Macaca fascicularis: one gene and its partners. The protein of the gene in region 2 interacts with the protein of the main gene of each other region in a biochemical or structural test. Links are inferred from orthologs where the notes say so. Each region holds a gene or a part of one and is shown on either strand. Other genes may lie near its edges.

Region 1 (3,648 bases), on a different chromosome or scaffold from region 2:
TTTCCCTTGTAGACTGTTCCAAATGAACCAGATCCAATTCTTTGTCCCACTGTAATCTGCCCATCAGGAATCTCCCAATCATCACTCGAGTCCCGTCTACCAAGTGTTTTCTTGATAAATATAGTACAAAAGTCAAGTCAAACCAAACAAAAAAAGAAAACCTTATGTTTCACTCTTTTTTAATTGGTGCTAAATTTCTTTATGTATCATATCTAATTCAGTCTTTCAAAAAAAAAAAATCAACATATAAAAGTACTTTGGTAGAGTAAAAGATCCACTTATTCAATAATTAGTAACAATACTATGGCTAAAAAGTATTAGTTTTTTATTTTATTTTTAAATTTTACTTTAAGTTCTGGGATACATGTGCAGAATGTGCAGGTTTGTTACATAGGTATACATGTGCCATGGTGGATTCATTTTGCAGAAGAAAGTTGATTTTTTAAATAGTGAAGAATGTCCTTCGGTAGATATCTGAATTCTGGACCAGCCTTTTCATGCCTTCTAATACTAGTTTTCTCTCTTTTTCCTTATTTTAGAAGCAGAACACTGTTACTCTTCCAAAACTGCCTTCTACTAAATTATATTACAGATGACAGCAGAAAGCAGTGCTGTGGAAATATGCTTTAAGCAAAAAACTATCAGCTCTGAAATTTAATTATGGGAGTTCTGTGTCACATATGGACATAATATATCTAAAGGATAATATTACATTTGGCTATGACTTCTAAGAAGACAGACAGAGAAAAAAAGATATTATATACTCTTACCATTCGATTCCTGTCTTCTGAGGATGAAGATGACTTCCTTTCTCGCTGAGGTCCTGGAGATTTCTGTAAGGCTTTCACGTTAGTGAGTGAGCCAGGTAATGAGGCAGGGGGGGTGGCAGACAAACCTGTGGTTGATCCTAAATTAGTGATAAGAAAAATGTATACATTAAGGAGGAGCAAGTATGTTAATTTATCAGGGGTAGAAGGTTGGGGGATATTTAGACTTAATTTTAAAATGTAGTGCATATTTAAATATAGACCTTTTGGAAAGGATGGGACAAAAAAAAGGGGGCCTCATTTGGTGATTACAACTATAATTTCTTTTAGTTTTCTGGCCAATTTAATGACCTTTAAGATATCTGATGATAGATACATACTTTGTTTCCTGGTACAAAATCTAGGAGAAAAACAATCTCTCTAAAACAAGATAGAAATACTAAAAATACTCCCAAGTTTCTGTTTCTTTGATGAAAAAAAAATCAAAAAGCAAAATCAATGTAAATGCCTATATAACAAATACACTTTTAATTAATTATTTAATATTACCTCAACAGCCAATCAATATAAAAAAAAAAGGAAATCCCCAAATGGAAACATTTTCTAATAATGGCCATAATGTTGAAAATATCTGACTTATTCATATTAATCACTAAACTCAAATACAATCCTAAACTACATGCTCTACTATTTAAGAGATATTGGTCAGTATCATTGGTTCCTAGAGGCTTACATTATTAAACAAAGATTATTTGTTACCTGCAAAACAAAGTTAATGTAAATAAAGCCAGCCATATTTCTCAAGACTTTCTGAAAAATCTCTGCCTTTGTAAGTGAGAGCTTTGTAAGTAAGCGCTATGGCCTCTCCGCTGAGTTACTATAAATACAAATATTCTATAGGTCAGGTGAGCCTGAGGAGTATACTCTTTGGAAGTGATCTCCGTTGGCAGGGTTGCATACCTTTCTCATGGCAAACATCCTGAGATAAGGTACAGTAGCACCTGGTTCAGAAGGGTTCAGGGCAGTGAATCTTACTGGGGCCTGAATACGGCTGAGTAGAACTCAGATGTCCAGGTAATAGTTCTATATACAGAACAACAAAATGACCTCAAGAAAATAGATTCTTTTTAAAAAATGACTGCTACTCTTAAGGAAAAAAAGAGTCACTATCTTTCAGATAACAAGGATACCAATAACCACATTTAAATGTTAAATCTGTAGAAAATATTTACTATTATTACATCATATTATATCACCATGTAGAATTTTCATGATCTCATATGCAATTTTCTAAAATAAAATGGTGTCCAGAATGTCTATTAAGTAGAGCACAATCCATTTTCTACCTCCCATTGATAATTTTCAACATTATAAAGCCTTAACTGCTTCACCAGGCTTCACAGTTATGATCTACTAAGTAGTTTTATTGTATCACTTAATTGTGTTACTCACTACTGTATGACTTCCATCCCATTCTATGGATTTTCTGAGAAACAGCAGGGCTGAGAGAGCAAATATCTAAAGCACCATTACTACATTCAGAATATGTAACAGATACTAACTAGCAAGAGTCAGTAAATATAAATCTTTAAAAATATTTATAGCAAGACATCTGTCCCAGCTTTGACTTAAGTTTTTTTTTTTTTTTTTTTTTTTCCAGATGGAGTCTCACTCTGTCGCCCAGGCTGGAGTACAATGGTACGATCTTGGCTCACTGTAACCTCCGCCTCCTGGGTTCAAGTGATTCTCCAGCCTCAGCCTCCCAAGTAGCTGGGATTACAGGCACCCGCCATCATGCCCGGCTAATTTTTTTGGTATTTTTGTAGAGACGGGTTTTCACCATATTGACCAGGCTGGTCTCGAACTCCTGACCTCAGGTGATCCATCCACTTTGGCCTTCCAAAGTGCTGGAACTACAGGCGTAAGCCACCGCGCCTAGCCCAACTTAAATTTTTACAAATCAGTTTAACCACTAAATAAAACAGCAAGATGAAATGGGAGAATGAAATTATACTGTAAACTTTCTTCTATTAGGACATAATTAAAAGGATAAATCCTCAAATTTCTGAAGTACACTGAAATATCTAAAATATGTTATAAATCTTTTTTTTTTTTTTCTTTTTTAACAGCTCCCTACCTTTGACAAAAATACACACATCCCATATTGGAGGAAAGAAAAACCCAAAAAACACAGCTAGTATTACAGAATCTGAAAAAAGGCCAAAAGCCTAATAAAATCTCATAATAGAAGTTTCCACTGACACTTCAATTTTCTTAAAAACCACAAAAATTATTAACAATCATAAACCATCAAGAATAATCACTTAAATGCATTAAAATCAAAGGAATCCAGTAAGCGCTTCCCCACCCACCTTATTTATTCCCACCCACTAAGTTTAACAAATTATCAAGACCAGGAAGTAATAAAATAACAAAAAACAAGATGGAAATCTCAGGTCAGGATTTTCTTGCTTTTAAAAATTTATGACAGACAGCATACAGAAAGCTTGTGGCAGTGAGTATGTGTGAGAAGCACATTCAGAGCATTCCAGCCAGGCCAAGCAGAAATTTAGTACTGAAAACTTTCACACTTACAAACACACGCTGTGAGGGTGAGGCACAAACAGCATCTGTAGTTTTATATTTAGTTTGCTTTGGGTGAAAACAAGAAAGAAGAGCCCAACTACCTCTGAACACTGGGCCAGGCTCAAAATCAAACACTATTTCACTGGGGACAGAATGTAGGAGGGGACTGGGAGTCCGGGATTGGTATTTCCGAAGACAGCGCATCAGCTGGTTCAAAGGGGCTGTTAGAAGAGAAAGAGAGGGGCAGGCAAACACAGGAAGACAGACACACAGAAGAAATGAAAGAAGTCATGGG
Region 2 (3,648 bases):
GGACAGAAATATAAAGGAACTTTACTTTTAAATGACAACCTAATAACTGTTAATAACATGACATTTTAGTTGTGCATCCTGTATGTATGTCATTGGTGCTAATGGCTTCCACTTCTAAATGACAAAAATTTGAATCCTACCATCCCTATTGGTAATTAAAACAAACACTAAAGCTTACAATAAAGTAATGCAACCTCTAAGACTGTAGCAACAGAGAAATTTTAGTGGAGTTTCCACTCTTTCCTAAGTAATGGAAGAAAATGAAGAATCCAGAAAGGTCAGACTAAGCCTGAAACACAATTTCACTATGAAAAAAGGGTAACAAAATGTCCCATCAGAGCGAGAGGAGTTAAAAATGTGGCATCGGGAGTGTATCAGACTGAGGCGCTGTTGTGGGCTAGGTCTTTGCTTCCAATGAGTCAAGAAGGACCTAGAAAGGAGCTATGAGGTGCTTCTTTCCTTTATCTTTCTGGGCTGGCAGCAAATGATCAATTACTTCCCGTAGAACTTTTTGTTGAGAAGGAAGATCAGGAGGTTGACATTTACTTTAGCTCTATCAAATAATTTCATGACTGCAACTCCTTCATATTGTAGCTGCAGCAGGTCCTATTAACAAAACAAAACATTTTGACAGTTAATCAAGTCTGTGGAACAAGGAAAAAGGACACAAGGTAGGGAGGGCTCCAGATGGACTGAGGCCTGCCTTGTGTGCCAGATGTGAACTGGGGTGAAAGAAAAGTTCCTAGCTAGGAAACTACCCACTGCACAACCAGCCTGAGAGCTGGAGCAATAGGGCGCACTGGCCAAAAGGCTCTTCTGGTTGATTTGGAGTTAGGAAGTCATGTTGTTCATATCAAAATTCATCATACATGGAAAGAAAAAGAAACATGTTCAGTTGCCACACACACCTAAGCTTTTTATTTCAGAAGTCACAATGACATTTTCGCATTTCATCCATGTTATGGGTCACTAGTTTTAATAAATCTGGAAAAGGTGAAGATTAAACCTACGATAAAATATACTAAGCATGGGAAATGAGACAAGGCTGGTAATGTCACCTCAATACTATCTGCTAGATTCTTAATTTCTTTTTTTTTTTTGAGATGGAGTCTCGCTCTGTAGCCCGGGCTGGAGTGCAGTGGCCGGATCTCAGCTCACTGCAAGCTCCGCCTCCCAGGTTTACGCCATTCTCTGGCCTCAGCCTCCCGAGTAGCTGGGACTACAGGTGCCCGCCACCACGCCCGGCTACTTTTTTTTTTTTTGTAGTTTTTAGTAGAGACGGGGTTTCACCGTGTTAGCCAGGATGGTCTCGATCTCCTGACCTCGTGATCCGCCCGTCTCGGCTCCCAAAGTGCTGGGATTACAGGCTTGAGCCACCGCGCCCGGCCCTAGATTCTTAATTTCTATTCCACATAAGAACACTCACTTTTTTTTTTTTTTTTTTTTTTGAGACGGAGTCTCGCTCTGCCACCCAGGCTGGAGTGCAGTGGGGCAATCTCAGCTCACTGCAAGCTCCGCCTCCTGGGTCCATGCCATTCTCCCGCCTCAGCCTCCCGAGCGGCTGGGATTACAGGCACCCACCACACGCCCGGCTAATTTTTTGTATTTTTAGTAGAGACGGGGTTTCACCGTGTTAGCCAGGATGGTCTCGATCTCCTGACCTCATTATCAGCCCACCTCGGCCTCCCAAAGTGCTGGGATTACAGGCGTGAGCCACCGCGCCCGGTAACATGAGAAAACTTTTTATCCTGAAGGCAAGGAGAAAAGAGAGAACTTGATGTTTTATTAGGTGTCTGCCATGTGCTTGGTATTGTGTAAGCACATTATATAGCATCTTTTAAAAGTCTTCACAAAAATTTTTATGAGGTGCGATCATCCTAATTTTAAAGATGAGCTATCGAGGCTCTGAGATGTTAAATGACTTGCACCACAGGACAGAGATGGACGTGGTAAATCCAGATCTGACTGCAATGCTCTTGCTTTTCCTGTTACTTTCGCCATTGTCCTGAACAAGTTTAAGAAATCTGAGCATTCTCACTTCTAAACTTTAGAAAAATGGTGATGAGAAAGCAAGGGTCAAAAGGCTTGAAAGGACCCCACAAGGCCGGGTGCGGTGGCTCACGCCTGTAATCCCAGCACTTTGGGAGGCTGAGGCAGGTGGATCATGAAGTAGGGAGTTAGAGACCAGCCTGGCCAACATGGTGAAACCCTGTTTCGACTAAAAATACAAAAATTAGCTGGGCATCCGGCGTGGTGGCACACGCCTGTATTCCCAGCTATTCAGTAGGCTGAGGCAGGAGAGTCACTTGAACCCGGGAGGTGGAGGTTGCAGTGAGCCGAGATTGCGCCATTGCACTCCAGCTTGGGCAATAAGAGCGAAACTCTGTCTCAAAAAAAAAAAAAAAAAAATTAGCCGGGCGTGATGGTGCACACCTGTAATCCCAGCCACTCAGGAGGTTGAGGCAGGACAATCAGTTGAACCCAGGAGGTGGAGGTTGTAGTGAGTGGAGATCACACCACTACACTCCAGTCTGGGCGACAGGGTGAGACTCCACCGCTCCCCCACCCAACCGCAAAAAAAAAAAAAAAAAAAAAGAAAGGACCCCACAAGTTCAATCATCTGCTGGAAAAATCCTAGCAGCTCCATGAAGGCTGCTGGCACCTGTGCCTAACATAATACCCCACACCTGGCAGTCACCCCACATTTAATGAATTTGTACATAAATTAATAAATTACCATAGGCAGACTGGTTGGCCTAACACAATTTGGTTAAGAAATTTAAAAATAAAAATATGTTCTGATAACTCCACGTAAATAAAATAAAAAAATTTTAAAATTAAAACAATAACAATTTGGTGAACTGAGGGAATGAGGTTCCTTTTTTTTTTGGTGGAAGTATTTCAGTTAGCTGTGTGCATCACAAAATCATTTCACATTTGTTTAGCTAACATGTTTTAATGGTCTACTGGTCACTGACAAGGAAACGAAGATGACTAAGAAATGCTACCTGTCCTTAAGGAGTTTATGGCTTTAGCGGGGAGAGGGGAAGTAAGTCAACACCTACTGTAAACAGAGGATGTCTGCAAAGGCTACAGAAGTGAAGGGGAAACCACCTATTATGGCTTGGCTGGGGGAGGTACACACATGGAAGTACTTGACAAATGATGGAGGAACAAAAGGGGTGGGGTTGGAAGGCAGGGGAGGGGAGGGAGGGCAGCATGAGCAGAAGTCCAAATGCACATTCACAGGAAGGCACCTGCCCAGGCTGGCAGGGCATGGCTGTGTGAAGCAGTGCAAGAAAGGAGACGGGAGCAGACTAACTGGTGCCACACACACAAAGCTAAAGGAGTCTGGACGTCACCTAGGAATCCTCTCAATGCCCTGCTATTTTTTAACGTGTAAAAATCAGATATTTCAAAATAAAACTTAGGGATCTTTATGCTGTAAAAATGAATTACTCCCGAGTTCTTTTTGGATTTAAGATAGGATGTGGTTTACAAACATAAACTTTACACACACCTTGTCAGAAGTGCATCTAACCTTTAAGTACCTACATCAAATCAAAATGAGAAAAAAATTTCAAGCTACTGAGTGGACTTACAATTTTGCAATGTCAGCATGTGTACTTATGCATTTTGTTCAAGTCC
Region 3 (4,373 bases), on a different chromosome or scaffold from region 2:
CCAAGATTGCGCCACTGCACTCCAGAACTGGCGACAGAGCGAGACTCTGTCTCAAAAAAAACAAAACAAAACTGTGCTTGATCAAATGCTCATAACTAATTAAAAAAAAAAACACAGACTGAAAACTCAAGGCCACAGGTTTTTAAACCTAATACTCCCTCACAGAGCCTCTGTAGTAGAAACCGCAGTAACAGTACCAGGCACTTACTAAGCACTCAGCAAGGGGCACCTGCAAAGTAGTTAACCAACATCTTGTTTACTCTTGTTGACCTCCCACTGAACCACCTCTCCTGGGAGGTGGGGGATGTGCTTAGGGTTACCCCATGTAAGCGGTGGAGTGGGTATTTGAAGGGAGGGTCCAGATTCCAGGATAGGCATTCGACAAGTTATCTGACTAGATAAAACAGCCAATTCAAACGGCAGAGGTCCTTAATCGGTTAGTATTAAATAAACGTATCTGCTATGCTTATGTTTTAGTTTCAGCATTTTTCAAATAATTATCAGCAATATGACTTATAAAAAAAAAAAACAGGCCGAGGCGGGGGGATCACTTGAGGTCAGGAGTTTGAGACCATCCTGGCCAACATGGCGAAACTCTATCTCTACCAAAAAAATAAAAAATAAATAAATAAAATTAGCTGGGTGTGGTGATGTGTGCCTGTAATCCCAGGTACTTGGGAGGCTGAGGCATGAGAATTGCTTGAACCCGGGAGGCAGAGGTTGCAGGAACAGAGAGAGCGCCATTGCACTCCAGGCTGGGCAACAGAGTGAGACCCTGTCTCAAAAAAAAAAAAAAAAGAAAGAAAGAAAAAAAAAATTGGGCTGGGCGCGGTGGCTCACACCTGTAATCCCAACACTCTGGGAGGCCCAGGCGGGTGGATCACCTGAGGTCAGGAGTTCGAGACCAGCCTGGCCAACATGGTGAAACCCCGTTTCTACTAAAAAATACAAAAATTAGCCTGGCACGGTGGCGCATGCCTATAATCCCAACTACTAGGGAGGCTGAGGCAGGAGGATCGCTTGAACCTGGGAGGCGGAGGTTGCAGTGAGCCGCAATTGTGCCACTGCACTCCAGCCTGGGCAATAGAATGAGATTCCGTCTCAAAAAAAAAAAAAAAAAAAAAAACCCTTGGATAGCCTACATACTCTTAAATAAGTGAAAGTTAGAATTTTTAGTTATTATATAAACAGAATTATGAGGCATTAATATTATTTCACATTTCCAAGACAAATATGACAGATGGGCATCTTACAAAAATCAGTTGTCTAATTATCCTTCTTGCATCTGAATTGCAAGAACCAAAATCTGTCCTAATGACAAGTTTGAAGAATATCAACCAGTTAACCGTGATGCCAGAGCTTGCCTTGGACTTTACTGGAACATGTACCAGTTGCACTGAGTTTTATTAAACTGGTAGTAATTCTTCCTTGCTAACACTAACCTATACAAGCAACGCTGAGACGCGCGATTTTGCTTGGGTTACACTGAGATTCTTGTTTCTATGGGAGAAAAAAACTGCATAAGACAAGTCTTGTCTTCCTCCAGGGCCTGTAACCACCACAGACAGTCATGAAAAGCAATGCCTGGAGTCACAGGGGGCCAGTTCTGCTACATCCCATACCTAACGCGTTAAGCAAAGAACAGTTTATCAATGACCACACCACGTTAAAAAAAAAAAAAAAAAAAAAAGAAAGAAAGAAAGAAAAGAAAAAACAGTGCCCCTTACAGCCGGCTCCTCCCAGCCAGCATCTTAAAAACTTTCTCCACGGAATACGCGAAAACAACAATTTTAAGAATCCTAACAGTGGCAGAAGTGTAAGTTGAAAAATCCTGCTCGAAAATAAGTTTAGAAGCCGGGCGCGGTGTCACCCCAGCACTTTTGGAGGCTGAGAGGCAGGAGGATCACTTGAGCGCAGCAATTCGAGACCAGCCTGGACAACACAGCGAGACCCCCAACCCCCATTTCTACAAAAAGTTTTAAAGATTAGCCAGGCGTGGTGGCACACGCCTGTAATCCCAGCATTTCTGGGAGGCTGGGATGGGAGGATCGCCTGAACCCAGGAGTTCGAGACCGGCCTGTGCAACACAGCGAGAACCGGTCTATGAAAAAAAATATGTTTTTCTAAAGAAAAGTTTGGGGGCACCAAAGAGGCCCGCACAATCAAGCATGCATCAAATATCGACTTGACCGCCGCGTTCCCAACACAGCTCTCAAGGCGAATTGAGAGGTTCATGCAAAAAACAAGAAAGAGTCCCTTTTTGGAAAAATGGTCAAAATCTCCAAGAGCGCTTCCTCTACGAGCGCTCCCGAGGAGGGCGGCGGGCGGCGTCCGGGAAGAAAGCCGGAGGGTGGAGTTCACTTTTCCCTCCGGCCGGCGAGCGGCAAGGCCCTCCTCCATCCAGAGCCGGAACCTGGCACGCGCCGCCCGGGAAGTCAGGGTCCAGTGGGGGCGCCAGCCCGCGGCCCCCGCCCCGCGATACAGGCCCAGGCCCACCGCCTACGCGAGCCCGCAGCGAGCGGCCTGCCTGCCTGGGTCTCAGTCCGGGCCAGACCCCCGCCCGCGCCCGACCCCGCCGTCCCCAGTCCGGCCCCGGCCGCGCACTCACCCGTCTCCCACCACCACACACTTGATGGCCTGCATCTGGGCCGCTCGCTGGGCCGCGGCGGCGGCGGCAGGGCGCTGAGATAGGAAGCGGCGGGCTCGGGGCGCGGCGGACGAGCGCGCGGCTTGAGGGCGGCGGGGCGCTGGGTGCCGGGGCCGCTGTCCACGCCGCCTCGCCCTCCGCGGACTGGAAGCTCAAGCCCGGCAGCGGCCACCACCCAAAGCTCAGGAAAACTGCAGAGAAACAGGAAATGGCCGCTCCACTCACATCCGGCCTCCCCTCCCCCGCGCCGGCGTCGCCGCTCCCAGGTTCCGGGCGGGGCCGCTCCCGCCCGCGCCGCTCCCGGAGTTTCTCTGGACTTCGGGAATGCTCGGAAGCGCTCGGGACCGCTCGGCTCCGACCGCGGGGCGCGGCGGCCGCCATCTTGGCGCGCTAAGGAGGCCTGGGCGTGGCCGGACCTGCAGGTCCTTTCCCTGGGGTTCACGGTTTAGGCTTTAAGAGGAACCTGTCAGTCGGGCGCGGTGGCTCACGCCTGTAATCCCAGCACTTTGGGAGGCCGAGGAGGGAGGATCACAAGGTCAAGAGATTGAGACCATCCTGGCCAACATGGTGAAACCCCGTCTGTACTAAAAATACAAAAATTAGCCGGGCGTGGAGGCGCGCACCTGTAGTCCCAGCTACTCAGGAAGCTGAGGCAGGAGAATTGCTTGAACCTGGGAGGCGGTGGTTGCAGTGAGCTGAGAGGGCGCCACTACACTCTAGCCTGGAGTCAGAGCCAGACTCCGTCTCAAAAAAAAGGAACCTGTGGTGGCTGGGCGCCGTGGCTCACCTCTCGCCTGTAATCTCAGCACTTTGGTTGGGAGGCCGAGGCGGGTGGATCACAAGTTCAGGAGTTCGAGACCAGTCTCATCAACGTGGTGAAACCCCATCTCTACTAAAAAAAATACAAAATGGTGGCTCACGCCTGTAATCCCAGCACTTTGGGAAACTGAAACAGGTGGATCACGAGGTCAGGAGTTCAAGACCAGCCTGGCCAACATGGTGAAACCCCATCTCTACTAAAAATAACAAATAAAAAAAGTAGCTGGGCATGGTGGCGTGTGCCTGTAATCCCAGCTTCTCGGGAGGCTGAGGCAGGAGAATTGCTTGAACCGGGACCCAGGAGGTGGAGGTTGCAGCAAGCTGATATGGCGCCACTACACTCCAGCCTGGGATACCGACCGAGACTCCGTCTCAAAAAATAAATAAATAAAAAATACAAAAATTAACCGGATGTGGTGGCAGGCACCTTTAATCCCAACTACTTGGGAGGCTGAAACAGGAGAACCGCTTGAACCCAGAAGGCAGAGGTTGCAGTGAGCCGAGATCGTACCACTGCACTCCAGCCTGGGAAACAGAGTGAGAGTCCGTCTTAAAAAAAAAAAAGAGGGACTGTGGTTGCAGGAGCCACGCTCCCTGTCACTAACTCCTGCTCGGGGCCATCGGAGGGCACTGCTTTCCACCCCCCGTTTCGTTATCTTCATGTAATAACTATGTGCAATGACATTAGGTCCTTTTAGGAAATTCAGAATCTAAAACTATAAGGAAGAATAAAATCATACACCATACCTTTATTCAGCAATAACCATGTCCATTCAGTCAAAAAAATGTGTTGCCGGCCGGGCGTGGTGGCTCACACCTGTAATCCCAGCACTTTTTGAGGCAAAGCTGGGCGGATCCACGTGAGGTCAGGAGTTCGAGATCAGCCTGGCCAATGTGGTGAATCCCC

Evidence for each region.
Region 1: the proteins of IQGAP1 (region 2) and BRAF form a complex in vitro, tested with the Homo sapiens proteins (2 studies listed by BioGRID and IntAct). The link is inferred for Macaca fascicularis from reciprocal best matches to the Homo sapiens genes IQGAP1 and BRAF.
Region 3: the proteins of IQGAP1 (region 2) and RAC1 form a complex in vitro, tested with the Homo sapiens proteins (3 studies listed by BioGRID). The link is inferred for Macaca fascicularis from reciprocal best matches to the Homo sapiens genes IQGAP1 and RAC1.

Annotation. Positions count from the first base shown.
Region 1 is NC_088377.1:182,452,136-182,455,783, forward strand, and holds part of BRAF (serine/threonine-protein kinase B-raf), read right to left. Parts: intron 3,575-3,648; coding exon 3,455-3,574; intron 908-3,454; coding exon 771-907; intron 111-770; coding exon 1-110. UniProt on the Homo sapiens protein: Protein kinase involved in the transduction of mitogenic signals from the cell membrane to the nucleus. Phosphorylates MAP2K1, and thereby activates the MAP kinase signal transduction pathway. Phosphorylates PFKFB2.
Region 2 is NC_088381.1:75,037,288-75,040,935, reverse strand, and holds part of IQGAP1 (ras GTPase-activating-like protein IQGAP1), read right to left. Parts: intron 607-3,648; coding exon 493-606; 3' UTR 1-492. UniProt on the Homo sapiens protein: Plays a crucial role in regulating the dynamics and assembly of the actin cytoskeleton.
Region 3 is NC_088377.1:45,992,298-45,996,670, forward strand, and holds the start of RAC1 (ras-related C3 botulinum toxin substrate 1), read right to left. Parts: upstream 2,851-4,373; 5' UTR 2,644-2,850; coding exon 2,609-2,643; intron 1-2,608. UniProt on the Homo sapiens protein: Plasma membrane-associated small GTPase which cycles between active GTP-bound and inactive GDP-bound states.